Linked DNA regions of Lepisosteus oculatus. The protein of the gene in region 1 purifies or fractionates together with the protein of each later gene. This does not show direct contact. Links are inferred from orthologs where the notes say so. Each region holds a gene or a part of one and is shown on either strand. Other genes may lie near its edges.

The links.
Region 2: the proteins of med12 (region 1) and vitamin D3 receptor B purify together in Homo sapiens (affinity purification with mass spectrometry; 3 studies listed by BioGRID, with this or other methods). This does not show direct contact. The link is inferred for Lepisosteus oculatus from reciprocal best matches to the Homo sapiens genes MED12 and VDR.
Region 3: the proteins of med12 (region 1) and cdk19 purify together in Homo sapiens (affinity purification with mass spectrometry; 10 studies listed by BioGRID and IntAct, counting the BioPlex papers as one, with this or other methods). This does not show direct contact. The link is inferred for Lepisosteus oculatus from reciprocal best matches to the Homo sapiens genes MED12 and CDK19.

The regions. Positions count from the first base shown.
Region 1 is NC_090703.1:52,280,072-52,290,557, reverse strand, and holds the start of med12 (mediator of RNA polymerase II transcription subunit 12), read right to left. Parts: upstream 4,426-10,486; 5' UTR 4,342-4,425; coding exon 4,243-4,341; intron 2,982-4,242; coding exon 2,877-2,981; intron 2,437-2,876; coding exon 2,245-2,436; intron 1,971-2,244; coding exon 1,811-1,970; intron 1,477-1,810; coding exon 1,301-1,476; intron 959-1,300; coding exon 848-958; intron 65-847; coding exon 1-64. Other genes in the region: tnfsf10l4 (tumor necrosis factor (ligand) superfamily, member 10 like 4), read left to right, coding at 5,420-5,599, 6,092-6,241, 7,023-7,068, 7,509-7,598, 7,697-8,127. UniProt on the Homo sapiens protein: Component of the Mediator complex, a coactivator involved in the regulated transcription of nearly all RNA polymerase II-dependent genes.
Region 2 is NC_090696.1:16,680,436-16,691,027, reverse strand, and holds the start of vitamin D3 receptor B, read right to left. Parts: upstream 5,141-10,592; 5' UTR 4,910-5,140; intron 4,552-4,909; 5' UTR 4,382-4,551; intron 1-4,381.
Region 3 is NC_090697.1:5,167,975-5,179,583, reverse strand, and holds the start of cdk19 (cyclin-dependent kinase 19), read left to right. Parts: upstream 1-6,086; 5' UTR 6,087-6,389; coding exon 6,390-6,517; intron 6,518-7,137; exon of another isoform or gene 7,138-7,366; intron 7,367-11,016; coding exon 11,017-11,092; intron 11,093-11,609. Other genes in the region: amd1 (S-adenosylmethionine decarboxylase proenzyme), read right to left, coding at 3,718-3,827.

The DNA.
Region 1 (10,486 bases):
GGCGCGTGCAGAAATAGGCCAGCCTTCTGGAGAGGTAGGCCGACTGCACAAACTCCCCAGAATACTGCAACACAAAGGCCAAGCACACACCGTTAACAAGCACAGGGCTGGACACATTTTTATTTGAAACAGGAAAACACTGTGGGAAAGATACCATCTGAAAATGCAGCATTGGAGTTGGATTAGGAATCGCTGTGAAACGCTGGTGATCAGCATTAAGCCAGCAGCCATATCAATATACAACTCACAACTGGCAACTCACTGGAGCTAAGCAGGTATGAGCCTGGTCAGTACCTGGATGGGAGACTCCTGGGAAAAACTAAGGTTGCTGCTGGAAGAGGTGTTAGTGGGGCCAGCAGGGGGCGCTCACCCTGCAGTCCATGTGGGTCCTAATGTCCCAGTATAGTGACGGGGACACTATACTGTAAACAGGCACCGTCCTTGGATGAGACGTAAAACCGAGGTCCTGACTCTCTGTGGTCATTAAAAATCCCAGGGCGTTTCTCGAAACGAGTAGGGGTGTAACCCCGGAGTCCTGGTCAAACTTCCCATTGTCCCTTACCAATCAAGGCCTCCTAATAATCCCCATCTATGAATTGGCTTCATGACTCTTCTCTCCTCCCCAATGATAGCTGATGTGCAGTGAGCATACTGGCGCTCTATGGCTCTATGGCTGCCATCGCATCATCCAGGTGGGGCTGCACATTGGTGGAGGGTGAGAAGACTCCCCATTACCTGTAAAGCGCTGAGTAGAGTGTCAAAAGCGCTATATAAGTGTAAGCAATTATTATTATTAACCTGGGAAAATGTTCTTGCAACTACATGACCAGCGCCTGTGTCAGCTTACCTGCAGCATCAGCGGTAGAAGCAGTTTCAGCAGCTCATCCTCTCCTGGTCTGATCTTCTCAAAACACTCCAGAACCCAAGTGAGGAACTCGTGTCTGTCTAGCATGCCATCCTAAAAACACGCGAACCGGGCAGCACAAATAAGACACCATTTTACACAATTACAGTTTGCACCGGCCCAACACAGCTACTGTACCTCCAAGAGCACCGAAGATACACCCTTTTCCCCAAACACATGACCTGCTCTGAATGTCACATCCCTGAATAATCCATTATTTCCTTTAACACTCTTTGGAGGACCTTGGAAGAAAAGTGATCACCCTTCTGAACACTAAACACTAATATATAAGGGAAATATAATAAGACATCTATAAATATTTGATTACAACTAAATGTCTGGAAGAGTTTTGTATTACACTCTCCAGGAGGACAAGCCGAATTGCATTCATCTGACCTGGAACATGAACATGGCTAGCTTCTCGTTGTACTCCCACTGCTTCATCGCCGTCTCCACCTCCACTGGGGTGGAGGGCAGTGGAGAGACACAGCCCTGGCTGGACGACTGACGGTAAAACTCAGCCACCTTCTGCAGCTGCTCCCACAGGTACTTTGTGATGATCTGGGTCCATTCTGCACACGGGCACAACGATAAAAAAACTACAGGCTCAAGGGGAACATCTTGCATTGTGGTCAAACAGAATTATATTTACTGTGTCCTTCATGAAGCAGTTAAATGCACAACTAACACTGTATAGCCTTTAAGTAACCGAGGTGAAATCAGATCCTGCCCCGGACTGCTGAAGGCTATGAAAACAAAACTCTTTCAACATCTTACAAAAAAAACATTTGTCTTCTTCCTAAAGAGTTCCAAAAGCCCCGCTACAAGCATGCTACTAATCAACAGCTTCACATCAGTCAAAGCTCGGCAACACTGACATGAAGGACGAGGGAGAGGAGTGGTTACCTATACAGGGGTCAATCACATGCCTCTTCTTCACTTTGGTCTCGGTTATGGCTGCATAGTAGGCACAGGTCATCTTGATCATCCATGCAGCACGCATTACTGGCACAGTGTACTTGGCCAAGTAGCCAAAAACCTCCTCCTTTTTACTGAAAATGGGTACCTGGTCAAAGCAAAGGACAAACAAAAAGGAATCAAAGGCTCTCAGAGGCACATATGGCTTTCATCATTCTCCCTTACATGCAGTTAATTTCAGAATTATTTTATCTACATATTCAGACTGAAGTTCCATAAACACATTTACATGTGTTTTTTACATTTCATGTGAAGTTGTGTTCTTTTCATTTTAAAAGAAAAATGCATTTTGTACCAAGCATAACACTTAACGTATAACTTGAGAAAGTTCAGCATGATGAACTGGATTTGACTGTTCACACCTTCTTAGCAAGCTGGGTGAGAGGCTTTGTTCCAGCCAGGTCTGTGAACCAGTTGTTGATGGAGCTCTGGGATCTCGCAGTGACCAACCAAAAGTTGTCTTTCTGGTTGACTTGGGGTTTCCTCTTTCCTGTGTCGGGGAACGTGTTGCATCGCAGCTTCTCTGCAATAATGCTACTGAAATTGGAGCTGATCTGTGAACAGAACGTGAACCGAATGAGCACTGAATTCATACTGTAACAGAAGCGTGGATGGACTAAAAGGGTTAGAGACTTCCACTATTATTATCCCATAACTTGACAGAAAGCTGAAGTATTACTTAAAGGACTATCTATTGAGAAGCAAAGAAAACCAAACAAATAACATCAATTACAAAAACAGCACATAGGTGAAATAAAGACAATCAGAGTGGCGATGTTAAGTTGTTATCTTTCAAAAGCTCATGTTCACAAATGCCCTTCTGTTTACAGTAAAGCCAAAGAAACAAAAAGGTACACAACTCCATCAACCCATGTCAACTTATCACAAATTCAGCAGACAATGAGAGCTTTTGCTTCCTACAGTGGCACACACTGCTGCAACCAGATGGCACTGAAGAACGCAGGCCAAGCAAACCTTGAGGACTCTTCCTTACCTTGGAGGGGTTAAAGTTGACGTTCTTGGCGCTGCCATGCTCGTCCCCCGAAACCGCCGGCTGGTTATTGAACCCCTGCTTCACATTCAGAGCTGTCAACTCATCCTGACGGGATAAAGCACCAAGACTGAGTGGCCAGCAGCACAGCACTGTCATCGCCACCCTGCGGCTGGGACAGGAGGTGCTACACACTTCCATTCCCCCACCGGCGCACGGGCTACACTGGCCGTTCGTTTGCAAACACCGGAGTGTGAAAGCTGCACTGACGATAGACACAGGACATCCCACAAGGCACAACTTTGATCACCGAGCTGTACACAAAAAAGGAAAGCATTCCCCGTGTCTCGTCTAAAATGTCACCCAAACCTGCCCCCCTGCCTCTTACTTTGCAGACTCCTGACAAGCTAGTGTTTTCCACACTGATATATAAACAGCAGTGTGCTTAATGACAAGACTGTCGTGATTACAAACTGAAAATGAAAACCATTCCTTAGAGTTATCTAATGTTGCCTGCTTTGTGCTGGTGGGCTCTTTTCCAAACCAGCTGGCACAAGTGCCCTGGGCTGCAAGAACCTCGGCAGCAAGCTATGTCGTTGCAGTAGTGCGATATATATGTATATTATATACACTATTCCACACTGATAAATGACCTCTGACGCCTTCTACGTGTGCTATTCACACAGCAATAAGACATGAAATTTCAGAAACGTCTCTCAGACCGTAAGGGGCAGCGACTGAAGTGCTTCGCGCCGTCAGTCACCCCGGTACGATCTGGGGAAGGCTGATCACAACCGCACTGAAACTGTAAAGTTTCTTGTACGGGACTGGTTAGAAGGACAGCAGAACTGCTTCTCAACGACAAACCGGCGTCCAGGCTCACAGAGCTAGTGCACAACAGCTCGTCACGTCATTTAGCACCACTGCTGCACTCAGTTACTGATAACCGTAGCTCCGTGCATAATTAAAACACATTGCTGTGGTGTATTCAGCCTGCTCGGGAATATTCCCATCTCTGCCATAAACACTGGAGCACAGCGTCTATGTTTAAGGCAGAAAACCACCTTGGGCATATAAAATTATTAAAAAACACAAGGTGAGCAGCATTTCTGGTGTTATTTTTACAAGTCCCTGTACAACAGCGGCTACTGAGCTCTCCGGCTGCACGTAAAACTCAAACAGTTTTGCAAGAACCTAATGTCATTTTTCACGTCTGTGTATCTGCTCATTGTTATTGTTACTGAAGCACAAAACAGGCCCAGGCTGCATCCTCGGACTCTCCTGCAAGCCCGACTCCCAGCCAGCCCGCTCGGGCACCCCCTCCAGTGCCCTGCTGGGGCTCAGACAGCCCGGAGCCCCCTTTCCTCACCTCCTTTTGCTTGGGGTCCTGCGGATAAACATCGGGAGGCCCGAGCCTCGGCCGCTTTAGGGGCCGGTGCTCGTAACTCAGGATCCCGAAAGCGGCCATCTTTCCAGCGGCATCACAGCAAAGGCTTTCCCCCTTCCGCTACGACAAGTGCCGAGTCTTCGCGGAAACACACGAAAGGGGAACCGAATAACCACGGCGAGACAACACAATCGCTGTGCCGGATCCGCCAGACCCGCGTACGGAAATTGCCGAAGCAGCCAGACATACTGACGGAAGTTTCCGAAGGTCGGGGGCGGATCCTATATAAACAGACATATGGATATATTGCAAATTCCATAGGGTTGAATTTGAACCTTCCCCCAGTAAACCAGCCCACTATTCACGACTGCAAAGAGAGCAAACAAGTCTGTTCATGAATATAGTACTGTACTGCTTAATAATGTACAATATACTGTAAATACAGCAACAGTGGTGGCAGGACATCATAGTCAACAAAACTATATTTTCTCCAGAATAAGAAGTCTTCGGAGAATGAACAGGTTCTGTTGTTGTTGGGGTTTTTTGATGATGTAGATTGAGAACATTTTTTTCATTTCTGCTAATCCAATCATCCCCTGTCCTCTGATTCGTTTTTTTAAGTAGTTTACAATTTTCGATTCTGTCTTAATTTTAAAGATAGTTTGTTGTGTTTTCTAAATAATGCGTGCGCTACATTATTTATTTTTTTTCCGCTGTGAGTTTTCTTCACCGATCTTTCTTATCTCGATGGCCATAGATGAGGTCCAGGTCAGCTGTGTGTTGTCTACATTTTCTCAGGCTGCGACAAAACGCATTCATGCATGCATACCTGTGAAGTTCAAAAACAAAAAAAAATAATATCATCATATTCGTTGTCGCTGTTGTTAATTGCTAGCATTAAAATTGTAGAAATAACTGCAGTTAAAGGTTTAAACCAAAATAAATCAATGCCTCCGAAAACGTTCATCCCACCCACAGTGACTCAGGAGGCGTTAACTGCGCTCGGGACTTTCCGACTGGGAAGGACCGCAGTTCTTGTAACGGGCAGGTTTGCTTGGGCTCAGTAAGGCGGCTGGGGGGGCTCCCATTTCTCTGTAGACCCTGTTTTTAATCTTTGCTGCTGAGTTATCATAACGATGTGGATCCCCACGACAGAAACATGACTACCGAGTCCCAGACCCACCGCATCTACAGGCAGCTGGAGGAGAAATTGTCGCCCAAGAGGAAGCTGAGCGTCGGGAGCTGGAATAGTTTCGTTTTGGTTTTGTGTTTTTTACTCGGAGCGGAAGTGGTTGGGGCTGCCTATCTGTTCTACAGTTTGGCTCTGGAAATAAAGCAGGTAAGCTTATCATATTAATACACACTGTTCTTGATTAAACAGTAAAAACTGGCTTTGCTCATCCTTACAGAACTCCTTGAAGGTACAGTAATGTCGGTGGACTTTTGTACGCGCTGCTCAGCAACAGATCAGTTTCAGTTCTGGCTGGACTTCACTTAGGAGACAGAGAATAAAACGGCGATGAAAACTATTTTGGAACATTAGTTTGCTTGAATATGTTTTTTATTGTCGGAATACTGATTTCCTGTACTATGAATTACTTTTTTTGTGCATATAAGCCGCTCATTTTCTAGATGTTTTAAAAACTTTTAAATTGTTTGATGACTACCGGGTTAATCGTTATCTAAAAAAAAGTGAGATGAACTGTGATTTTGAGTCCATGTTGATCATTCGAAACACAAGAGGCGCAGGTACTTGTACCGCCCGGTTACAGAGCAGAAGTATGCGTCCTGCGTTTGCAATTACGCCTCTGATTGTACTTCACTTATCCAGACCCAGGAGGTGGCCAGGCTCGGAGAGTATCCTGTACAGTGTTTGCAGTACCTAGTGGATCCAGGCCTTCGAGAAAATGCATCTTTCAGCTCTGAAGACCTTGCCGGCTGTGACCAGTGGAATGCGGAGCTCAAGAAAACTATCGGGAAGGTAACGAGACTCCCACTTAACAGGCAGTGATTCACTCACGCTGGACTAACCAAGACTAGGGAAAGGAGAGCTTAATAGACGAGCCAGCAGCTACAGTACATCAAACTGCAACTCACAACTGGCGACCCATTGAAGCTCAGCAGGAATGAGACTGGTTAGTACCTGGATGAGAGACCTCCTTGGAAAAACTAATGTTGCTGCTGGAAGAGGTGTTATTGGGGCCAGTAGGGGTGCTCTTCCTGCAGTCTGTGTGGGTCCTAATGCCCCACTACAGTGATAGGGACACTCAGTAAAACCAAGGTCCTCACTCTCTGTGGTCATTATCAATTCCAGGATGATTCTCAAAAGAATCTCGACGAGTGTTACTCCGGCGTCCTGGCCAAATTTCCCATTGGCCCTTACCAATCATGGCCTCCTAATAATCCCCATCTCTGAACTGGCTTCATTACTCTGCTCTCTTCCCCACTGAGAGCTGGTGTGTGGGGAGTGTACTGGTGCCATCTGGCTGCACTTAGGTAGAGGGGAGTCCCTATTACCTGTAAAACACTTTGAGTGGAGTGTCCAGAAAAGTGCTATTTAAGTGTAAAGAATTATTATAACAGAACAGAAACACCCAATTCCATTCTCAATGGGAGTCCTGATCTGTAATGCTCCCTTCTCCTTGCAGTCCCAAGCAAGAGAGAAATAAGTGACGTAGACAAGTGGGATATGTCATTCAGTCCACCACATACACGCTCTCGTCCTAGTGCTGACTACTGGAGCCTGTTGTTTTGTCTTGCAGCAACTGATATCTGATGTCAGGAACACCCTGTATCAGGAGCTTACAGGTATGTTTTTGTTTTGCAACATATTCAAATCACTGTCCTCATTGGCACAGCACACTGTCAGAATCCTGTCCAACAGGTTCCCTTGCCCAGCACTGCTCCTAAAGATCACTTTAGTAGGCATATACAATTCCCAATGGAGTAGGATTCCTCTGCCAACCACAGAATTTGAACCGGCAACCTTCCAGCCACAGGTGCAGATCCTTAACCACAGAGCCACCGCTCCGCCCAAGTGTCACGACAGTTGCACTGAGTCACTGCGGCATGTTTTTGAGAAGCACAGTGCTTCGTTTGTTTATGCTGGAGATCAAGAAGACGAACGAAAGTTGGAGGTTTTGAGCATGTACTGTAGGCATTGTGATAAGTATCAGACCATCTGCAAGGCAAATGTGGGGTTTTTATAAGGTACTTCTTTCCGTGATGTTTTCATCTATTTCTCACAGCCCACAATGTGTCCCTGACCCACGCCAACAAACCAGCCATCCACCTGGGCCCCGAGCAGGGCTGGAGACAGTTTCTGTGGCTAAAGCCAGGTGGGAGCATGTTTTTACACGACGGTGTTGCATTTAGTGTCTTGTTCGATTTCCGTAGGAAAGCTTGTTGCTCATTGTCTTTATTCTGTACTCCACAGGCAGTCAATGGGGCCCCATGACGACTCCCAGAGGAGCCGTTGTACGCTGGGACAATGTGAATGGCATGGCCGTGCAAGAAGGCATGATGGGATACAGTCAGGATGGAGGCATAGTGGTGCCGCGAGATGGGCTTTACTTTGTCTATTCCCAGGTTTATTACCACTCGCAGCGCCCAGCTGGCAAGGAGCAGGCCCAGCCTTTTCTACACTACATATACAGGAAGACATCTTACCAGGAGCCTATCCTTCTTTCTAAGGCTGCCTCCACTGGATGCTGGAACATGGAGCTGGAACGCGATCTAGTTTCCAGCCACCAGGGGGCACTGTTCCAGCTGCAGCAGGGGGACCAGCTCATTTTGAAGGTTCATGACATCCACTCTGTGTATTTGAATGAGGATTCCACTTATTTTGGAGCATTTATGGTAATTTAACTGGTGAAGTTCAAAATTACTGAACAGGTATTGGGTTAATCGATTTTCTTCTCTATTATTGTTCTAGAAGAGCACTAAGGAAATCTTTATGTAATGTCTTATTGCCCACAAAGGCCATGTCGCTAAAGTCTTGCAAGTGTGTTATTTTACAGAAACTCTAGTTTTTAACTGCTGTGGTATTTATAATGATAATAATTAGCACACACGTATTTCCCTTTGTGGGGATTTGTGTCTGATCAGGTTTGCACTCATATGATTGCTAGCCAGATCCACTCTGATAATGGTATTAATGGGAAAAGTAAAAAAAAAAGCTTAGTCTAATTTTCAAACAACGCACATCCGTTTAAAGAATAAAAATTAGATCTAATTTTCCCATTTTGTACAAAATATTTTTATTAAAATATTCTTGTGTTTTTAATAAAAGTCTGTAATGAAATAACTGAAAAAAATACTCATTTCAGTAATTTAACAAGGCAAACTTATGGACAGGTCTTCTGATGTCACAGATTATATCTGGAGTGGGTAACACCAGCTAAGGGGTGCCAGGTTCCTATGGGCTCCTTTAGCTTAGAGTAGCACCTGCTCATACCAGGAGAACAGCCAGTTGATCTTCTGATATTCTCCATTAGTTCAGTTAAGGTTAAGGTCTAAGCTATATTAAAAAACCAAAACCAAATGCAGCCTCGGCAGTCTGGAGTTGCCCACCCCAGTTACACAACAAATAATATTCGGAGCTGGGACGTATTTTTGCTGTGCAGTTTTGCAAACGACTGATATTTCTCTTTGACCGCAGTGCTACTCAAGCATCTGGGGTGCATTTTCTCAGCACAGCCAGTCTGGCTCATTTCTTCAGTCACATTTTACACTGCAGATACCCCCTGGTACATTGGGTGCACAGGGGAAGCTATAGGGAGCAAGTTCAGCCAGAGTATGACACTGTTTTGGGAAGACAGTTAAGATAAGGGTTTGTCTGTACACAGTGCAAAAAAAATGAAAATATAGAGAGTAAAATGTATGCATTACATTCAAACACTTTCACCTCACAGATACTTTCAAAGTTTATACAATTTGTGATTTATTGCTCTCACACAGGCACTTGTAGGGTTAACTGAGGTGCACTCAGAGGTGGATCCTTCTACACAAGGCTTAGACATTCTGTTAAAGTGACTCTTACAAATAGAACTATTTGTAAGGTGTCCCCTTTAAATACAGTGTCTAGTTCCATAATGGTAATTGGATCAAATAAGGCATGCTCTTCAAGCCTATCTTTCCATTGAAAGAGGTTTGGTAGGTCAAACCAGTGGGCAATAGCTGTACTGCACAAACTACATTAGGCTTCACAGTTTTATCCCCATTCAGTCCAATCTCTGGCATTTAAGAGATTAGCCTACATTTAATGATCACATAGAACATTTCTTGCGAGCCATGATGCTCCCTGTCTTTCAATTATTGTAATAAGTATTCTAAGGGAAATTCAGTCCTTGTTAATTGTTTCTGTTGTCAGTAACATGCTTCTGTATTTGTCCTTTGCTAAGGTTTTCTGTACTTATTTGCTTTTTTTTCTTTGGAAGTTCTTTGGGAGTTGAGCTATATCTTTTGAAAAGTTGACAGAAATGTTTGGCAAGACTCGTGAAGAAGAACAGCTGATTATTATCGTGCAAAGGGAGATCTACGTCCCCATGGACTGATAGCAAATACAAATTTAAAACTGGAAACCAGTTACACTGTGAATGTAGGTCACAAACTCCCACAGTGGTACTGTATGTGCAAAGACCATACGTAGAAATAGAACCTCATAATGAGTTCCCCAGAGGCCAGAGAAAGCCACTGATACTTTCTTTGATCTGAACATAAGCAGCCCGCAGCGTTTCAGTGTTTCCCTGCTTAGAAAAATAAATGCCTGCAACAAGTGGCCAGGCTCACAGTTACTGTGTCCTTGGCTCTCTCGCAGCCCAGCGCTGGAGGAACAGTCTTCTGCTCTGTAGGGTCCACAGGGCTCCCAAGTCACCCATCTGTAAGTCACTGGGCTTCCAATCTGCCTCATCAAGTGATCCTGCTGGACTAATACAAATATCACCGCTGGCGCCATGCGGAAAGTGTTTAGTGCAAATTGAGAAGAAGAAATGGAGCCATTTGTCATCATTATTCAGAGGCTGTAATGTTGGCTCCTTCCTGATTTAGCACTTGTCCAAAGTTTATCTAATCCGATACTACAGAAACTGAAAGTGGTTTATTCCGCAGACGAGGAGTGCTCGCAAAGTAATTAACAGCTTCGATCAGGATGACGTCGTTCTTTCCACGGTTTACGCGGGGAGCTGTGGTCTCAGGTCAGGCTGCGGAGCCGCGACAGGGTGGGGCA
Region 2 (10,592 bases), on another chromosome or scaffold:
AAGAATCAGTTGCTTATATTTATTACAATAGGAAAATAATCACAACAAATGTGATTTCGGGATCTAATTTTGTATTTTGCAATGTTTTTCTTGTAAAGAAAACTGGAAAGCACAACATTTTGCACTTTAAAGGTGCATATAACATATACTGTATAAGCAACACCTACACTCACAGACACCTTTAACAAGTTTGTTAAATGTTTTATGACCCTTTCAAAATAAGAACAAACTGCCTGTAAAATGTGCAGTTTGTATAAAGAGTATCAAGTGGCTTTAATGGATCTGACAGACCTTTATACCACAAACCAAGAATTAGAGTAATAGAAATGCTTCCATTTTATAGGACTATATATAGTAAATCTACGTTTTTACAGGTCTTATGATTTAGGGAATTTTTCAGGTATCAAATTATTTAGAACGTTGCTGCATTTCTTTGTAACATACCCATTTAATTAACTATTCATGTTTTGTTCACAGGATTGTGTAAAAGCTCATTTATTTTTCAAAATACCAGCTCTGACTGGACATCCATGCGTTGTTACTGCGTACATGGAGGATGTCTTGGTTCATGCTTACTGACTTTAAAGGCAGCACATTTAGAAGATACGAGTTATATTTTAATGACATTTTTAAACTTGTTTACCAATTTGAAATGCCTCAACAGAACACACAAAACATTCCTTGTAAACACATAAAAAAGGCTGAAATCAAACCTTCAATTGTTAAAGTTGAAAGCAAATGAGTCCCATGAACTATTCTGCATTTGATTCAACACTGAAGTCGTCAAATGAATAGTTTGTCACAAGCTGGAACATCAACTACCGTTCTGTTATATAAATCTTCAATAACCAAACATCGAACAAGGCCATGCACTTGCTTCCTTTAGAAATCTGCACCACACGCTGGTATAGCTAGCAATTCAATTATGCTTCTCTGTATACAGGCTTTCACAAATCAAATCAGCACGGCCTTTCAAAGCTCAAGGTGAGCAGTAACCTGCTAGTTCAGATTTATATGCTTTCATCTTGAACATCACACATTCCATCATCTGATTTTAAGCACAACAATTAACTTTTTTAAATTACACAAACAGAAATTCTGGGCAAATAAAAAATATTGAGTAGGAAAATCAATACCAATTGAAACCTTGTATTTTAAGCAAACATCTTGCAAAGCTAAAGCTTTCCTGGAAGCCTTTAAAAGGGCATTGCTTCACAATTGACATGTGTGGGTGGCACGCTGATGGAGCTCTATGGTAAAGCACTTAGTGCTGGAAAATTTCAAAACCTCAACATTTTTGAAAAAGGAAGAAAAGTCAAGATGGAATATGCAATGTTTCCATTAAAATGGCCAAAATCCCTTGATGAAAGAATGGGCAAACAGACAGATAGCATGACTACATTTCCATTTGTTGTACGATTAAACAAGGACTGTGGGCAAATGAATACTTCTGTTCCTCCCATACATCCATTTTCTAAATACTTTATCCAATATAGGGTTCTGGGGGAAATGTAGCCTATCCCAGCAAGTAACAGGCGCAAGGCAGGATATACTCAGGATATATAACAGGATGCCAATCCATTCATGGGTACACAGACACAAACACGTGTGCACTCATACCAGAGCCAATTTTTACAGAAGCCAATCAACCTACTAGTATGTCTGTGAATTATGAGAGGAAACTGGAGCACCAGGAGAAAACCCATGTGAACACAGGGAAAACATACAAACCCCACACAGACAGCACACTGGAAATTGAGCTAGGGCCCTAAAACTGCAAGGCAACAATGCTCACCACAGTGCCACCCAGCTGCCCTCCCTTATACTTCCATCTGTCTATAGTATCTCCACCTCAAGACATTACAACATCATCACACTTCAGCTTACATTCAACTCTTTAAGATAAAGATCACTTTATTGGCTATATACAATTTTTCTTGCATTAGGTATTTGTCTTTTCGCATACCCCAACTTGCTCTCCATGAGACACACAGACAGTGGGAGAAGCTTGGGGTCAGAGTGCAGGGTCAGCCATTTAAACAGCGCCCCTGGAGCAGTTGGGGTTAAGGGTCTTGCTCAGGGCCCCACCGGAGTAGTAGCCACAGGGGCAGATCCTTAGCCACAGAGCTCTTCCTCACAAAAACACAGTGCGTTTACACCCGCAGTGAAAACTTTTAGGGAGCTAATTTTAAAGAAAGATGCTTCGTTTCAATTTTGTAACACACAGAGCTGCTGTTATCTCTTTCAAAGCAGGACTACGAGCTGTGCACAGAGGAAACCGACTGAGGGAAAATGAAGTGCGGCAAAATTCAAGTCACACAAAGATTCTAGGAAAATAAAAAGCCAACATTGCCAAGAACACATTTCGGGAATGGCTGTGAAAAGACAGGGTTAGGGAAAGAAAAATCCAGTCTATGAGGTGTTGCAATCATTGCCTACAGATAAGAAAGGCTGGCCTTAGCCATTACTGAGCAGCATGATGTGGATGCCTGGACAGAGACTTTCAACTGATAGGAAGGCAATGGGAGTGCGCTCAGCAAGCTCCAGGCTGCGAGGGGGTAAAGTGCTGAGGAATGACATCCGCCAGGTGCTGCTGGTTTGGGTTTTAAGAAGCGTCTCCCTGGATCTGATGCAATATTAATGTTCCCTGGAAAGCAAAGCAGCACAACAACGAGCTGATGCGCACTGGAGTGCAAAACAAAGTTTGAATGCTTAACCAAGGTATACACTATGGATTCTGAGCAACAATTGCTCAGATTAGGCAAACACAAGACAGGCAGCATCTGTTTTATTAAATCTTTAATTCACCTTCTGTTCCGTAACAGAACAAGCCCTCCGTCAAGGAAAAATGACCCCTGCTCCAGCAGGGAAAACAAGACTCTCCGTCTCAAAATGTAAGAGAACAGGTGAAAAACGGGAGCTTAAAAAACTATTCACATCAATAGCATAGAATTCCTTAGTTCCCAGAAGTAACAAACAGCAAACGGTCACTCTGCTTTTCAAAAATAATGTAACGTCTGACAGAGCCTGTTTATTAATTTGCATGTTTGCCACAGGCTTGCTGTAGAGTGCTGGCAGAGGACACTGCAGATGTTTGGCAATCTCACTGCAATTTCAAGGACATTGAAAAACATTTACTAGACATGGCGTGAACATTAGTCATGCTGTGGTCAACACCCACCAACTATCAGGAGTAACAGTCAAGCAAAAGGTTGACAGAAAGTTCACTGCCTTCTATACTTGGAAAAACCCATCTGATGGGTAAAAAACTAACCATGTAAAGCTGTTTCACTGTGATTATACTATTAGTTTTACAACAGAATAAGACTGTTTACAAAAGAGGAGGCCATTCAGCCCATGTAGCCCACTTGATACCCTGTTTTCTTTCCAGAAGCTAACTATCGGCTTCGACAACATGGCAGGTTAGCTTGATTGATACTGTACTTCCATTTACTTTGAGCAAATAAGTGACCAAAGAATAACAATTGCTAGTTTTGTTTTGCAAGAGTGGATTTTAAAACAACTTCAAATGTCAAGCAATCACATCCAATCTCAGAAGATTTTCCACTCCTGTCCTTGAATCAACCCATCCTTTCGGATATCTGGTCATCATGCCTTTTCTGCTGTTGCTCCATTGGTATGGAATGACCTTCCACAGACTCTATGAGATTCCACAAATTCTCTGACTCTCTGCAAATCCAAACACAAAATTCACCTTTTCACCAAAGCCTTTGTCTGATCGCCAGACATTTTTGTTTAATTTGTCTTATTTATTTTCTTCTTTTACTCTTCATTGTACTTTTTGTCTTTTTATCACTATATACAGCATTCTTGGGTTTGGAAAGGCACTTTTAAAATAAAAGACGATGATGAATCTTTTTATTATTGTTGTTGTTGTTAACCCTGTAAGTGCAGATTGCTACACTCCCAATATATCCTTTAAAGAATAGTCGAGGGCAATGAGGTACTTCTTCGAGCCCAAGGCTGTATGTTTCGCTGGCCTCTTTAAATCACCACCTGCATAAAACCCAGGCCAGCCCACTTCACGAAACTCAATTTTTCCATTAAATAGCCAAGAGGTCAGAAATAATGCAAACAAGGCTTTCCTGATGCCTTGGAAAGCCAGCCATGCACAGTGCTTTTAATTGTAGTTTACTCTGACCAATTAGTGCAGCATTCTGGGACTTACAAATTTTGCTCAGCGTGAAAAACTCAAAACGTGATACAGAAGTAAAGGAGGAAAAAATTATCAAGATGCTCTATGCTTTGCTATATAACTTTGGTTTAGCGTGTTTTAGCTGGATCTCCACTGGTATACCACAGTAAACCCAGCCATAAGTATCCATCACATTATTAGTCTGAAAAGCAGTGGGTAACTTACCAGAGGTCCACATGATGTTACAGACCCCTCCGAGCTCTCCAGGCGTCTGTGTGGGCCGAGGCAGGTCTGGATGCAGATCCGTGTTCCAGGTGGACCGCCGGGGCCCCTCACGCCTCATCAACCCTCGGCGATGGCAGTAGGGCTGAGAGGTCGCATCCCAACCTGTGGTCCTAAGGAACAAGGAGACAACACATCGTCTCTCGTCCTCGATATCAGCTGGGAGACGAAATGACTTAACCTGTATACAGGACCCGGTCCCGTGTCGCTAGCCCAAGAAATCATTCGGCATTCCTGCCGGAAACACAGATATAAAAGCAACCACACCGCCCCCGGACAGATCAATATACTTTTTTTCAGGAAACCGTCCTTTTCCCCCCCTGTACGGTATCTTAAAACACATTCCCCAAATTTGGAAATGTTAACGACTTTAGTACATTTGTTTCGTTTGGAAAAAAAAGCGCTCTAAAATATGAAAACCATTTCCATTCTTACAAACCGTTTTTTTTTCTAAAAACTTTTTTCACTGACCTTGCTTTGAAGAAGTTTGCCGGTAACCGTTAAGTTATTTCGAACTGTGAAGCTGCACAGGGCATCTTGGTGTTGTCAAGTGTATTGCGAGTGAACAAAGGCGAAAGCAAAGCCGCAAAAATACCGAAAAAATATCAGAAATTTACAGATATTCGAAGTTCCAAGAAAAAAAACGTTTGTTCGCATTTCAATATTTTAAAGACAAATGTTTTATCAGGTATCAGAGCATATACTTCTCACAACCGGCTAACCCGTGCGGCTACAGTGTAAGATTGACGGCTGGAAGGACCAATCAGCGTAGCTCTTGAAAGCGGGTTCTCAGAGTTTAGATTCCCGGATGTTCGCTTCGTGTGTTCGAACTGGTTTATATTGTATTTTCATAATTAAAGGGAAAATACAGCGGACATTTCCATCTATATAGCTCAGTTTTACTAAAAGGTAAGAATATGTAACCTTCGTGTATCACATACGTTCGCATTCAAGAGTTTTGGAATAAACTGAACTTGTTATGCCTTTTCCTTCACGGCGATATTATCTCAAATACAGTATTGGACAAGTTACTATATGTTTCTATTTTTTATGGGTGTTTTATAAATATTTCGACCAGTATTATTTGTACATTGAAAAAAAACATTCTACTTTTATTTTTCTTAGGGCTTTACAGGCTGTGCAGATATCTGGTCCCATGGTGTAATGGTTAGCACTCTGGACTTTGAATCCAGCGATCCGAGTTCAAATCTCGGTGGGACCTCATCCTTTTGCCAGAACGTCAAAGAAAATGACTTTTTCCCCCCTAAAAGCTTACAAAAAAATTATAATTCTCATTCGGTCTGGAACTGAGACAGTTCCACAAATATTACGAACACTATAATGTGCATGTATTTATAGAAAATGTTTTAAACGTTTCCAAAAACCAAAAACTTTTTTTCAGAACATTTCGAGTATTTTTAAACCGTTAGTTTCCGTTCAATGGTGTTACGATTCATGTTTTTTTTAAAAAACAAACCTCATAAAACGCGGAACAAGGTTGGTTTCTGGGTGTAATTTTGCATTATGACAGTAAGGGGGCAGTCGTTAGGATGCAGTCGACTACATCCTGAAGACATTTAAAAATCGGGCTCGGTATACAGTATATATCACGGACGTCAGACTTGTTTTAAAAGCAACTACTCCCCTAAATGTGTGTTTTATATTAAGAAGAAAGGACTGGTTAGAAACGAGGAGTGCATTGGGCCCCTCCAGCACATTTAGATATGCGTTATCGTTATTGCGTATGCAAAATATAACACAGGCACGTGTTAAGATTTAACGTGTCTGTGGAAATTGCACAAATACTGTACATTTGAGGACAGTCCAAGAAAGTGTTTAATATGTATTCATAGATGTATTACTGCAATTAGTATTTGCTTGACTGACGCTCATTTCCAAGGTGACTTTAAAAAAATACAGCGCATTAATATAAGCTATAAATGTTAATCCATTTTAAACGAATTCTGTCATTTCTGTTTGCAGAGTTGGATGAATCCGAAAGTGGGCAGTTTCTGCACTAATGCTGGGAAGCTAAAAGGCTTTCTGATGAGGAAAAATAAATTCAGTACACCGACGCCCCGGCTCCTTGTTCTCCGGTTATTTTAGCCTGGCTGGGATTTGTTATCCTTGGCCCTGCGAGTCGCGGTTTTTATGTTTTAAATGTCCCGTGTTTTTAGAGCACGTTGGCGCTGCTTTTTCCTTTGCGTGTTCAAAACGTTTAAGTCAACTGCGTCAGCCTGCGTAGTCTGCAGAGGAACAAGTAATAGGTTATTACAGAAAAGAGAAGAGAGAAAACACAACGTTTCGGCTGTGAAGCCTTCTTCAGGTGTGAGAAAGACAGGGCAGACAGGAAAGATTAAATAGCAAAGGTAGGCCGGTTTGACACACCTTCGGACGGAAAGGCGCTCTACAGCAACAGGAACAGAGGATCCCCGTCCTGGACTTGGCGACCCACCCCCCTGCTGATAGGACTGAAGCCGGACTTGGATCTGAGAAGCTGCTCCAATCGAATTATTTGCATTTTGTTTCCAGCCACAAGTCTGGGATTTTATTTCACTTACAAAACACAACGGTTAAAGCTCCCATATGCTTAAGAGCAAACCGTTCACATTCGTCTTATTGTTATGACTACGTCAATGAAGGGTTTGAATGTGTAACTGAGGGCTCAGCGGGACCAGGCCTGGGAACCCCTGATCGGGATTAAGCACAAGCCGACACCCCCAGTTTCCAGCTGCTCTGACTGCGAGTGCGGCTACTGCAGCGGCCCCTGCTGTACAGCTCGTTCCTCTACCTCCGCCCCTGTAGCTGCTGGTCCTACTGCTGCCACTAGCACACTGTTAACAGCAACTTCACTCCGTGTGCGAGGAACCCGGGGAGTGGATTCGTGAGATATCCCATCGGTTAGGCTTTACCGGCGTGGGAGAAACTGAGAATCCACTCGCGCTCGACTTCGGGGAGCACACCGTATCCTATTCCCCCGGGCCGGGGCGCTCGTCACTTCTTAAGATGTGGGACGGTACGCTCAGACTTGCAATGACCCAGAATCGTACAATCGACACGCGTGTCCGCAGCTGTTCCACCGAGGACACCGTGCGGCGCTGGTAGGGTCGTCAAGAGCGTGAAGGGAGCTCGGCTAACGCGGAAAAACTCCCCGAGTTTCACCCGCTTGACTTGTCAGGTGGTCGAGTACGCTGGTCGGGGGGTAGGATAACCTCCGGGATCCATTTTTCTGGGAATGCAATGTTAGGCGTGGTAGGGACACGCTTTAGAAAAGCAAGCGTGCTCCGTTTTTCTGGGAATGCAAGGGAACAATATCAGTGTAAGAGCCCCTGTCGGGGACAGGAAACGGGGAATCGGGGAGCCCCGCCGGTGGAGGAGCACAGAAGCACAGCCCTTTCTCCGGGTTTCCCATCCACATGAAAAAACTCCACACGCGTCCTGGACACAGAGAGGGCATAGAGAACAGAGACAGTCTCACTGAGAGCTACCCACCCCCCAGCGACCTTTCTTGTACCGTAGGGGCCTCACCCCCAGCCCTCGCTGCATTAGGGTGGGCAGCGGTGAGGAGGAGACTGTGATCCATCTCCTGTGTCCTGTTTTTTTGCTAAGGCCTTCTGGGCCCAGTTTGAACACTGGTTGCAAGCTCTCTCGCCCCAATTTTCCCTGACCGCTGCTTTCGTTATATATACGGCATCTCTCCTGTCAAACTTCCTCCTGACGTGATTGACAGGATCTGGGCCGTGGTGAACAGTGGGAAAGACGCCCCGTGGAGAGTGAGGAACATGGGGGTGTTCACAGGCATCGAGGTCCCAGTCAAGGCAGCAGGTAGCCTGGCCCTGTCCATCACCCGAGAGAACTATTACCTCAGAGATCTGTGGAGAGAAGGGAAAGAGGAAGCAGAAACTGTGGGAAATAGAGGGCATAGGACAGTATCTCAAGATGCTGTGAAAAACATGGGATGTGATCATACAGTATATACTGGTTTAAGTATGTATATTAATGTAAAGCTTTCTAATTTGTGATGCCCTGTATTTCTTTGTGAAAATAAAATAAAGTTCTTAAAAATCGGTAAAATCGGTGTCTTCTGCGCAGGTTAGGAAGCGTTTCGACACCTTTGGCCTTGCTTTCGGCGTCTGAGGGTGAATTAAGACCCCCCCAAGACCAAAGCTGAAAGCGTTGCTGGCGTCCAGTTTCACCAGTTTCCAACGGGACAAATCTGTCCCCCGTCTTCCTGGGGTCAAAAACCATAGCTTTACTGGCTCATTGCAAAACGTGTGGACAAATGTACCCGACCTCTTTCAGCCCAATGCTGTAGAAAGAGTACTTGGCCTGGCAGGACGTTAAGCCCAATCCATGCCACTGACTAAACAATAGTTCACGGATATTTCTGTTAGTGTTGTGAAACTATCTGACACATTGAAGCAGCAAGTCCTTAGGGAAAGAGTTCACTCTTGGAAACTAATCTCCAGATCGTCAGTCGTTCTGGATATCTAATTCAGAAAAAAGAAGGTCACACGTATTAACGCCTCTTCGGCCGTTTTGTCACGCTTTTTACTTCACGCACAAGGCACAACCGATCTGATTCCGCTGTGCAGCCCCGCCGCGCATCGTCCCCGTTCGCCGAAGAGCCGATCTGTGTTCGGCTCCTTCCGTGACCCCGCCCCCTCCAGCCGAGCCGGCTGCCATTCTCGTTGGCCTCGGTCCACTCCGGCGGCTATCCGTCCACTCCGCCACAGCCTCCCGACAGCTTCCCCGCCAATTAACAAATGGTAATGTGCGAGACGTCAATGAAAGGTAAAGCAGGGTCCGAAAACCCACGTGAAAATGTATTGCAAATCATGAAACGATAATATATAAATATTGTGCATATGATCACAAATCCACAGATGTATTTGTTTAGGGACTGATCTCAGAAAATGATAGCTGTGTGACTGAAATGATTCTGGGAGGTTCAACCTCCTCCTCCATGTTTAGGACTATAGGTACTGAAAACACCTGAAGTTAAACCTCTCATTACGTCGGGAAGGGTTTGATTATTTAATGGAGCGCTGAGATGGGGTCCCCGGGCCTAGAGGAGCACGAGAGTGATGATTGGAGCTCCTGCTGAAACCAGGCCTGGAGTCGGGATCCCTCGCTGACCCGGTCCTTCATGACAGCGGTGCAATGGGCAGATTCCAGATAGCAGCTGTCCCGAGGAAGACCTGGGATTGGCCCCTGACTGGGGGGCTCAAGTCAGTGACCTACAGTAGAGGCCAGAGTGCAATATAAAAACTTTGCAGTCTGCTTGTGAGCAAGAGAATCTACAGGGACAAGCCAAAACTTTTGAAGAACCCCCCCACACACACACACAAGCACACACGCACACACACAAGCACAGTCTCTGACTCTTGCAATGACAAAAACAACTTTAATATATGGGACGTACAGTATTCGGGGTTAAGGGTTCAGAATTATTCGCTGCTGGTCGTTTATTCAAGCAGGATTTTCTCTTAGCCCATGTCGTGATGGGTAACTTGCGAGTAACCCCGCCAGCGTCTCGTCTGTCCTCCGGGACCGAGATCTGGGAGCAGTTCAAGCTGGGAAAAGCGGTGGAAGTCTGCCTCGCGTTATTCAAGGGAACCATGCCTTGTTTGCAGCTAAATGAGTTTATTCAGGGGACTAGTGACAAATGTTCCTAATATTTTGGCCAGTGAGTGTGCCTAGCTGCCTTCCCAGTGTTGTCAAGCTGAATAAAAATAGCAGGCTGCAGCCTGAAACTTGGACTGCAGGGGCTCTGCTGCAGCCCGTTGAGCTGACAGAGAGGAATCCCCTGACACACTACTCTGCCGTTTGCACCGAGGGCTGAGTTGACTTAACAACTGGGATTTCTAAAAACAAGTCAAAAAGACGAGAAAAATTGGGAAATTCAAACCCCAAAAATGAAAATAGTTGGCACCCACAGCATACAGTATGTCTGTGCCAGGATGGGTTTGCTTAATCCATGCCTCTCATTGGAAAGAGCTTGCTTTCTTGCATTTGGACAGCTTAGCGGGACCCTGCCCAGAGGTGTGAGTGCAGACAGAGGCACACAGAGTAATTGATTGGTTCCAGATGTGCACCGCCTCTCATGTGTCTCCCGGAAAAGCCAAACTATCTGCACGCTACTGGGAGGCAG
Region 3 (11,609 bases), on another chromosome or scaffold:
CAATTTTTCAGTGCACACAATAAATTTCCAGGGTCATCAGCCGTACCACCTGGGGGCGCTCCACAGTACCAGTTTGAGAACCACAGATCCAAGTCCTAATAATAAATAAAGACTTATTTAACAAACACACAACCGTTTACATTGTCTTATCTTTATTGAACAAATGTTTTAAACAATCAAGATCATTGATGGAAAACGTATGTGAACCTCTAGGATATTGACATCTTGAAAAGAGATTGGAGTCAGGTATTCCAATCAATGAGTCAGCTGTTCCAATCAATTTAGGTGTGGGCTTGATCTGCCCTGCCGTATCAAACAATCACACAGTTTTGGTTACCTGCTCTTCATAACAGAATTGCAATATGGCCCGATCAAAAGAGATTTCAGAGGACCTCAGAAGAGAGTTTTTGAAGCTCATAAGACTGGAAAAGGTTACAAAAGGATTTCTAAAGACTTGGGCCTCCGTCAGTCCACAGTCAGGCAGGGTTTACAAGTGGAAGAAATTCAGCACTGTTGCTACTCTCCCTAGGAGTGGGCGTCCTACACAGATCAGTGCAAGGGCACACCGCACAATCCTCAAACAGGTGACAAACAACCCCAGGGTGACAGCTAGGGATCTGCAGGCATCTCTTGCACTTGATAACGTCTGTGTTCATGAGTCCACCATGAGATAAACACTGAACAAGAGTGGTGTTCATGGGAGGTTACCACAGAGGAAACCACTGCTCTCCAAAGAAAACATTGCTGCCCCATCTCAAGTTTGCCAAAGACCACCTGGATGTTCCACAGCACTACTGGAACAATGTACTGTGGACAGATGAGACAAAAGTTGAACTTTTTGGTATATGTACACAGCGTCATGTCTGGAGAAAACAAAACACTGCACACCAACACCAAAACCTCATCCCAACTGCGAGGCACGGTGGAGGGAGTATAGAGGTGTGGGGCTGCTTTGCTGCCTCAGGGCCTGGACGGCTTGCAATCACTGAGGGACCAATGACGTTGTATCAGGAAATTCTACCGCACAATGTCAGGGCGTCTGTCTGCGATCTACAACTCAAGAGAAGTGGGGTCATGCAACATCGCAATGATCCAAAACACAGGAGTAAATCAACAACAGAGTGGCTCCAGCAGAAGACGTTCCGGATTTCAGAAAGGCCAAGTCAGAGTCCTGACCTCAATCTCACCGAGCTGCTGTGGCGTGATCTGAAGCAGGCCGTTCAAGCACTCATCGCGGAAATATACATGAAGTGGAACAGTTTTGTGTAGAGGAAGGAGCCAAAATACCTCCCAACCGCTGTGCAGGTCTGATCAGCAGCTACAGAAAGTGTTGGGTTGAGGTTACTGCCAATAAAGAAGGTTCCCCTCATTACTTAATATAAGGGTTCACATACTTTTTCCATCAATGACCTTGATTGTTTAAACCATTTGTTCAATAAAGAGATGGCAATGTAAAATGTGTGTTTGTCAAATAAGACTGGCTTTATTTATTCTGACTGAGATGTAGATTAGATCACATTTTAGTAGCCATTCATGCAGAAATCCACATAAGTCCTAAGGGTTTTTTATACTGTAGGGGGATGCCTATTTTATTCTGAAGAAAAAAACCACTTCTATCCATCATCCAGAAAGCTGGATTTGTTCAGTTTGTGTGAAGGAGAAAAAATGCCGAAGCAGCGGCAGATGTTCTCAAGACGCATGAATATATGTGCAATTCCAATCAAGCTTATACTGGGGTTCAACAAGGTCAAATGTCTAAATTCTTCAGTGCAGCAGAAACGTTAACAGTTTCAACGGTAATGGAAGAGCTTCCAATACAGCGTTAAAAGGGAGGAAGCAGACTCACCTCCCTTATAACTCCTTCCACTGTGCTGTCTAACTTTGTTCAGGTCTGTGCTGTACACGTTCGCCCCTGACTGCACACTAGCGCATGTTACGCCACTAGCCTTCCTTGAGAGCACTGCAGGGTAAACCACGGAGAGCTAAAAAAGGCCAGGGACACTCGGGCCGTTTCCTCATTCCAGCCTCCACAGAGGCTATAAATAACACGGTGGCATTTCAGGAACCGGAGGAGCCAATGAGCAGGGGAGGCCGGCTGCAGACCGGCACAGTCGCGGATCGCTCGGGCCTCAGCGCGCCGGTGACAAACACTCATGACAAACAGGAGGCCTGCACTGCACTGCACAACAGGCGAGCAGAAAAACACTCGGGTTTTGCACCCTACTTTAAAGGCCCTTTTCTGGCTCTGAAGACACACTGGAAAGGGAGAAGACCAGCTGGTGAGGCGCCAGTGCCCAGCCTGGCGACGGGTCCGGGCGACCCCCTGTGCAACCCCCCTGGTGCTCACAGAAACGCCGAGCAGAGCCTGGCGGGCTGGGTATGGGATTAACGCTCACCCTTTCGCTGCCTGGAGGCTGCACTCCTGAAATCAAAGACTGGATTTCCTTAGACGGCTCTTCTACTACACCCATCCCCTGAGGGTGGCTGGACTGGGCCCCTCCTGTATGCAAAGTGCTTTAGAGTCCTCTGCAAAATACGCTATAAAATAACACACTGTCAGTCCGAGAACCACCTGCTGCTCGCCACTAGCCGAGAGTGCGAGGAGACCAGAGAGAAAAGAAAAAAAAACACACAAATCTAAAGCAAACTCTTTTCTCGCCCCCCCCGAAGCGTGCTCGGGGCGAGCCATGTGCCCCCTCGCGTGGAAGCGTCTGTCGCGACCCGCCCTCTTGCACACGGAGGGGGTGGGGTGGGTGGGGGTGTGCCTTTCAGAGCCGCCCGCGATGATTGAAGGGCGCACCCGGCGGAGCGGAGAGGGGCGGCCCGATCGCGCCCGCAGGACTGCCCCCGGGAGCGGGGAGGTAAGTCACCGCGGCCGCAAGCACCGCTCCGCCACGGGGGGGGACCGGCCCGGCCGCATTCCCGGGCCCCCTCCGACAAGGGATGGATCCGCCGACAGTCGGCTCCACGCAGCCCGTGGGGGGAGCCACGTTTTGCCCGTGCGCCCAATTGCATTCACTCGACTGCCCCCACGTGTGAAGCCCGTGCGTTCTCTCCCCCCACCCCTGACTCGCCACTTTTCTTTCCCGTGGCACCGCCGTCTGTCACAGCCCAGACCACTCTCTCGCCCCCCCCCTCCAACTGGGGGAGGGAGGGAGCAGCGGGCCTGCAGTGGCAGTAAATCACCAGCGGGCACCGGTGACTGCGCACAGAAAACCCACCCGCGATCCCCCACGCATGCACGCACACGCATCGCTGGAGACCCCTTCGCCGGCTCTCTCCCTGCGAGGGAGCCCGGCTCCACCCCCCCGGGGAAGGCGAGCCCGGGCGACCCGCAGCGGCCGAGCCCCGCAGGACGAGCGGGGGACAGGCTCGGGCCGTGGGAGGGAGGGGGGGGGTGAGAAGGGGGGGATGGTCTCGGTGCAGAGCCAGCAGCACACGGCTCTCCCCTGGCCGCCGCCGCGACGCGGACACGACACCCGACCCACGACACGCACCCGGGGCAGCGAGGCTTCAAGGCGCCACGCAAAACGGATCGCCCGCTGTCTCCCCACGTACATACGCACACGCACCACAAATGAAAAAAAAAAGACTCAATCGGCCCCGTTTTTTTTTTTTAGGGGATCGCGTTTTGCAAGGAGGGGGGTGCGATTAAAAAGAGCACAACCGAGCGCAGGGCAAAGGCTGCCGTGAGAGGGACCGCCCGGCCGCACCAACCTGGGGATGTTGCGGAGGTCTCCTGTCCCCTTGCTCTCGTCCTGCCGGGAGAACCACACCTCCAGCAGCTTCTCCGTCCCCTCGAAGAAGTGTGCACCGTTCTCTTCCATCGTGAGACAACAGACACCGACAACAGAAATTACAAATTACACGTCGGGGTGGTGGTGGTGGGGGGGTTTGGTGGCTGTAATTTTTCAGATTTGCGTTAATCCTGGCGAGGTTCGGATAACTTAATGAAATGGTTAATTCAGTCTTGTGTTGTTTTTTTTAAGCAGTCCAGGTGTCGTTTGCTTGATTTTTTGCCGTCTTCCCTTTGACAGAGAATACCGTTTAGCGAGCGCTAGCTAATGTCGCCGGCCATACTGTGTAGAGCCGCGAGCGCCGCTCGCCCGGTGCTTTTATTACCTCCCTGGCGACGTCACAAGCGGGCCGCGGCCAATCGGGCGCCTCCGAGCCCATGGGCGGCGCGCCCATTGGCTGCCCGCCGTGCCAATAACTCCCGACAGGGGCCCGCCTCGGCCTACAGTTACCTTGCACACGCGAGGGGCAGCTGAGAGGTTCCTAATACCCCGCCTGTTTGAGTGTGTGCTTTCAGGAGGAAGCCTGGCCTATTGCGAGCGTTTGACACAAAAGTGACATAAGGTTTGTGCAAGATCTGCTTATTAGGTCTTGGGGCGAATGCAACGCAATCGGGTGGGATACGCATTGCACCCTAGCCCATTAAAGTAACCTTTTCCTCGGTAGGTAGGTGCAAAGGTATGTTGGGGTTTTGTTTTCAAATTGTTATTAAGTCTGGCGGGGTTCATCTTCAAGTTGGTCTTCACGCATAAGTCTGCACTCTGTTTTGTTTTGTTCTATAACATCTCATTCGACGTGTGAAACACAGCCTTATTTTTTGTGACCATTAACTTTTCTCTGGAAAACGCCGCTGGAGAGCGTTCGAATTTGCTGGATGGATTGTACTGTAAATCTCCAGTTCGTACATACGAGGAATTGTAAAAACAGCATTTATTTCAGTAGTTCCAGCTACTGGACTCATCACGTGCACCTTTTTAATCACTGTTATGTTATATCCCATATGGTGAGACATTATAAGTTATATGTTAGATATTATACGTTATATGCAAAATTTCTGATAAACCACTTTACATAGAAGAGCACAATGACACTCCAGTTACTTTGGAGTTTATAATGCAAATGTTTTGTTGAAAATGAGCGGCCATGAATTGGTGTTATCAGATAATTTTATAAGCCATGGCGTGCTGTTGACACAAAATACGATATACTGCACGTTACTGAGAGATTGAGATGTTTTCAAACAAAATAGAGTCTGGGAAACGGCGTCAGATGTTTAGAAAACGAGAAAAGCTGTATATAAGTACCACTGAATGACGGTGCATTTGTAGGAATTTAACCTGTACTAAAAAACTCAAGAAAAAAACAGTAACAGAGATGTTCTCCATACACATTAAAACTATAATTTACAATGATTTGCGTCCTGCAGCCAGGTTATTAATTAAATTCATGGACTATTGGAATATACGCGTTGTACGTGTAACGGCTGAATTATAAAACATGACCTTAAGTTTTCAAGCAGTTCTCAGTAAGTTCAAACATCTGCTGTCACTGCTGCTTTCACCAGCCACACGCCGATCGGAACTTCCGCCCCCGGCCCAGACCCCAGTTCGAGAAAACAAACGGCAAAGGATTGAAAACCATAACGACAGTCCGCCGCGCTGCAGCGCGGAAACTCGAGATCGGGGGGTGTTCAGTTCTGAGTACATGTGAGATCTTTGCATCCATAGGCTTCCCCGCAAGTACACGTGTTTCACCGACAAGATGTTAACGTGCAACGCTCTGGACCAATTAGATGTGCGGTGCCTCTTGGGCAGGTACTACTGTGAGTAATGTTACGACAGACTACCACATGCACAGAATTAAAAGGCAAAGGGTCACCAGTCCCATTCAGAACACACATCTAACGTGAAATGCACACGACTATTATACGCCCGGCTAAGAAACGGGAGCACCGACTTCTTTCTTGTTTTTTTTAAAAAAAAAACCCACAATTGCGATTTCTGCTCTTGGGGTGACCTCTCCGCAGAAGTAACCAAGTCACGGTGTTTTATAACAAACTGGGGGGGCGGCATCCGCACGCGATTAGATAATCGCGGGGCATTTCTGAGCCTGGGAAAACAGGACGACTTTCACGGTACCGGCCACACAGCGGCACTGACAGAAGACCCACCCCCTTTAAAATACGCGTATGCGCCCATTCCAAGCCTTCCACTAGACGCGGAAGACGGACATATGTAGAGATAAACATTGAAACATTAGCCGCCGATCCCGTGCTGCTGCATTTTTGTGGGGGGTTGTAAACCCCGACTGCGCAGGCGCGCCGCCCGCAAGGGGTTGGCGGGGAGTGTAGTTTCGGGACGGCGGGGGCTCCGTTAGGGTAGTCCGCGGGCCCCGTGGGTAAGAAAACCACAACCCCCAGAATGCAAAGCGCGCTCACCCAGAAACGTCAACGAGCCAGTGAACATTAAGCGGAGCAGACCAAAATCCCAAACAAGGAAATGATGGGGGAATTGAACGCTTAGATTATTTAATTAACACATTTAATAATTAATATTTTATTTTTGTTGTAAATTAAGAAGTATTTATGGGTTAAAATGGATTACGATTTCAAAACGAAGCTTGCAGCCGAGAGGGAGAGAGTGGAGGATCTGTTTGAATATGAAGGTTGCAAAGTGGGTCGAGGCACCTACGGGCATGTTTATAAAGCCAAGCGCAAAGATGGGTAAGAAAAACAACTGACATTATGATGATTAAAACCCGGTCATTTTACATGCATGTGCTGCCCCGACTGGTGCTGAAACAGTCACAGGCTTCTCCGACTGGATCTGGGGGTTATGCATTCCGGCTCGGACCCTGTCCCGGTAACATGCACACCAAATGTTGATTTTCTGTCACTCCATGTCAAGGGGATTGCACGTAGCTTAATATGGACATACAACACACTTTAATTATCCCCTACAGAACAACAATTCACCTTGGTCTGAGCAGGTCCTCGGGGGCGTCTTGAAAACTTGGAAATCTGGTCAGGCGATCAGTGAATTGTAGCGTTAGGCTGAGGCGTGCACGGCGCTGGAAATGTCACGCTGTTTTTTTCTGGAAACAGATGTACTAGAAAGTTATGGTCTTCTTCAACCCCCCCTCCCCCCACGTTTTCAAGTGTGCATCCTCTAAGCTAGCGGTTGAAGTTGAAAGCACTGTCGTCAGGCAATTATCTGCGCGACGGGCACATAACTTGCATATTTCAATGCGGTCCCACGAGTCGATAGGTGCACACATGTGAAATAAACGTGATCAAGGAGCCTCACTGGGAAGTTGGTTTGGCACAGCGATGTTGCTCGTCAGCCCAGGGTAAATGTTACATTTCAGTGGTTGGCTCAGTCGGTCTGAGATTCACGTGGAAATCGAGGTCAACCGGGTACTTGAGTTACTGTGTTGCAGCGGGAGCACGATTTGGTTTCACGGGTGCACAGTCATCAAGTACCGGTTCTGCTTGGAATAACCGAAATAAACATTTGCTGGCCGAAAAAAAATAACCGGATAAATAACACCGTGAAGTCTCGGGCGGCAGAAAGTGAGCAAAACTCTGCCGCCGCCGCACCGTGACACAGGCAGTGCACAGTTTCTGAATCCGGGTTTGCCGCTTCGACACTTTGTCTGCAGGCCGCCCGGAAAGAGACGGTACGAAACACTGTTTGGGTCAAGTGCATAACTGGGGCGTTACACGTCGAGGCCCCGGTTAGCTCCTGAACTATTCCCGTCTCTTTCGGGGTTCTTTTCTTATTTTGTTTCAACCGATACCTCGATTGTTGAAGCTTTCGTCGGCCTGTTTGCCTTGTACACGGCACCGTGTCGGAAGCTATTTTTCAGAATTCCTCTCGTTTTAAGGTTTATTGTCTTAAGAGAAAATGTAAAGAGTGTCCGTACAGATCAGACCCCCTACTGCTTCACTGCTGTCCCCTCCTAGTGGTTTGCCCTCCTCCCTGGACTCTTCACGACCTCTTTTGAATCAGTTGTTTACTCAATGGGTCTTTCCTGTCAGTGAGGTCTAGATCACCCCAAGACCATGCAGGCCCAGTTAGTGACTAACTTCTCAGTCCAAGTTCACACTAGGAGGTGTCAAAAGGCACGTCTGTTTAGGTCAAATGAGCTTAAATGACTGTTGCCCTTAACAAAAGGCTGTCGCACCTGTATGTGTGTGCCTAATATTTTCTTCTGGTGTCTGAAACGTTTATTATGTTTACAGTTAGTTTCTTTTTCTTCCCAACCTGCTTGCTCAGGGAAGAGAACGGTTTGAATTCATGGTGTGGTTTAAATTTCTCCTTATTTTCCAAGCACTCTTTAGATGCATACGCCAGTGCAGAAGCCTGAAGTGTATCTGTTGGTGTATAGTGTCGGTCAGTACCAAGCCGGAGGCATCGCTGAGTGCTGTTTAAGCGTCTGTTGAGGAGGTGTGAGTTAGGCTCCTGTAAGGAAGCACAGGGGAGTCTAAAACCAGGTAGCAGGGTTGAGAGCAAAATGCAGTGAGAGTTGAACCGGAGAGCAAACTGACCTTGCTGTGTTTTTCTCCCAGGATTCCTATTTTATAGAGGTAGATACTTGCTGCAGCTTTGTTTAAGACTGGTTGCATGTCTTACATAGGTATTAGTGTCAACCGGTACCTGTACTGATACAATGGGATTCTTACTTACAGAAAGTCTCTCGATTGTTAAAACAAGTGTAAAAACACAAAGTGCAGCCAGTGCATCAAGACAATAGAGAAACAAACAGCAGACAATGGACAAGTAAACAGTTCGAATGTAAACAATGCAGACATGAATCCATGATGGTTAAAATGCTGTAGGGTTTTAGAGTTGAATAAAGCTCCTTTTTCTTTTTTTTCATATTTGTAGTAAAAAAAAAAATCCTGAAGTTAGCATATATCTGAATGTAAATTGTACATTGCTATGATTGAGAACGGGTAAAATATTTGACAGCAGGAACTGTAACTAAGTACGATTCCTGTACTAAGTGAAGATGATTGGCGTCCCTTCCAGGGTGTATCCTGCCTTATGCCTGTTGCTTGCTGGGATAGACTCAACAGGCAGATAGCAGCCTGGGAATTGAACCCAGGTCCCCAGTGCTGCAAATCAGCAATTTTAACCACTGCACTACTGTGCTGCCCCAAGACGGGTTCAGCATCTATTAATTACTCGTAATGTTTATCCACATTTTCAAATGGGCTGAGTGATGTCTTCTGATCTGTCACCTCTCTTCATCCTGAGCAATGTAATGTGAAACTAGCGCCGAACACGATTCTGTCGCAGCTACGGTATGTAATCACCAGCCTGGCGATTACAGTGATCTGTCGTGAGCAAGCTTTCAGTGGAGGGCTGGGCTTGAAGCAAGCAATGCAGGAAATGTAAACATGTTAAGTTGTGACAGCTGAAAGAGCACAGCAGGCACCTAACAGGAGTGGAGAAGGTGAAAGCAATTAAGGGGAGTTGCGGTTTTGCATTTGCTAATGCCGACAGACCTGAGCCTTGTCTCAGAATTTAGGCAGTTTTTGAAACAAAACAAAACATTTAGCCATGGTCAAGACTGGTCAAGCCATCACAGTTTGTCGTGGGACACCGATTGAATGTGAACACGTACTACAGTAGTAATCTGTTATTCCAAGCATGATGACATTTAACTAAAGAGCTAGTTTGAGTTGGAAATGTGTAAATGATCTGAAATAAAGCACCAGCAATGTTTTTGTTTGCTCCACCTTTAAAAGGACAATTCTATTATTTTATCATCTCTTCAGTGGGTGGATTTTATCATGCCAGCTTTATTATTATAAATAAATAATCAATGACTTTAGGGCATCTGCACCTCATAATTGCTATCTAATTGTTTTAGGACACTTATGGAATGTTCCTGCACAGATCTATAAGTAACTAATAATAATAATTCCTTACACTTATATAGCACTTTTCTGGACACTCAACTCAAAGCCCTTTTGCAGGTAATGGGGACTCCCCTCCACCACCACCAGTGTGCAGCCCCACCTGGTTGATGCTCACTGCAGCATCGCCTGGGCAAAGTGGCTATTGGTATTCAGCTTTTAGTTGTTGCTTTGAAAATATTTTTGGCGGCACTTCAGCATTAGATAGGCACATAAAGGCGTAAAATAATTTTCCTGGTCATGAGCACAAAGCTCTTCTGGCAGTGATGCGCAGAAATGACGTGAGGCAAAAATAACTCCTTGTGTTGTGGCAGTGTGTGGCTGTATTTCACCTGAGATAGCGCCTGCTGGCAGGCCCAGGGCTGAGGTGGCACTGCCTTTTACACAGCAGCGTGACCAGACTGACCCCTGACCCCTGACCCCTGACCCCACGTCTACTGCTACTCCCACTCCTAGGTGACAGCTGGTGGCGCCGGAGGAGGGGCCGCGTGTGGTAAGCCAGGGTCCAATCTCAGAGGCCTTTTTTGGGAATTTTAAAAGATCTACACACGTTTCTAAAAAAAGTGTGCTTTTTGGACTCTGGACCAAAAGGCTGATTTTCAGGAATTCAGAGTTTGTTAGTTCAGTTAGTTACCCTTGTTTTGGACATGTGGAGGCCATCTTGTCCAAGGCGCCATCAGTGGGGAAAAGGTTACATGGAGCGATTGGGTAATTTATCTGTCGCTGTGTCAGATTCAAATGGTTTAATTTTCCTAACGAGCAGGGGGGCACAACTCTAGTCCCAGTTTCTGGTTTCTCCTCCCACCTGAGCCCTTTATTACCTAAATGAAGTAGTTATTTGCTCCATCTCAGTCGAACGTGGAGAAGTCCTTTCAAGTCCTTAAGAAGCTGGAGATTGAAGGGGACCTCTCTGATGGAGAGCAGCCCCTGAAGATCAGATCTGGGCTCCCCTGCGACTCCAGGTTACAGAACCGACATATGTTACTCACCTACGTGTTTGATCCTGGTGGCTGTTACACACCCGAATGTAGAGGAACAGGGTGTCCACTGGTCCTGCTGTGCCCTCTTGTCTCTGTGGTGTAAGTAGCAGTCCTGTGGATGAGTGGCTGTATCAGGCCTTGAGTGATGCACATGGCCAAGCTGCTGTCTGTCTGCTCTGTACACGAAGCCTCCTCGTGCTGTCTAGGAGTGAGGACAGCGGGCTTTAGTGTGGAAGGGCTCGGCGTGTCCCGCGGACGTGTTTAGAAAGCAGCCGCTGTCGTGCTAAATGGTTTTGTTTGTTTCTTCCCTTGTAGGAAGGATGAAAAAGAATATGCACTGAAACAAATTGAAGGTACTGGAATATCAATGTCCGCCTGCCGGGAGATCGCGGTAAGTGGATTCCCTCTTTAGGCTATCAGGAGCCCGATATGGGATTCCGCCTGTTGCTGGAGGACACTTGTGTGGCAGAAGGTTGTTGTGTGACCTCTGATGAGGTCTCTCGCAGTCATTCTTCACTTACCGGTTTCATCTTTGTCATTTCTGGGAAATGTGGAAGCAGATGGGATTATCTCCTTGTATTCAGGTTATTATGGTACATAAGTATTGTCAGCGCCATTTGTCTGGTGGTGGTGTTCACTTTGTTGAAGAAGGGCTCGCTGAGACAGAGTGGTCTACTGTAAGGCGAGATGACCTGAACACCAGCGTGATGTCTCTCCTCTTGCTGCTCATACGCACAGGGGCCGGTCTGCCCTGCTGGGACACCTAAGACCCTGCAGGACGTACTGTAAGCAGGAGCTGGGAATGTGGCTGTGTGGGTGGAGGGAGTCTCTATTTGACGTGCGCACACGGGCTGCCCCCACACGTCTGATTGCGGGCTAGCTTTGTTTGGACATAAATGAGGAAGAAG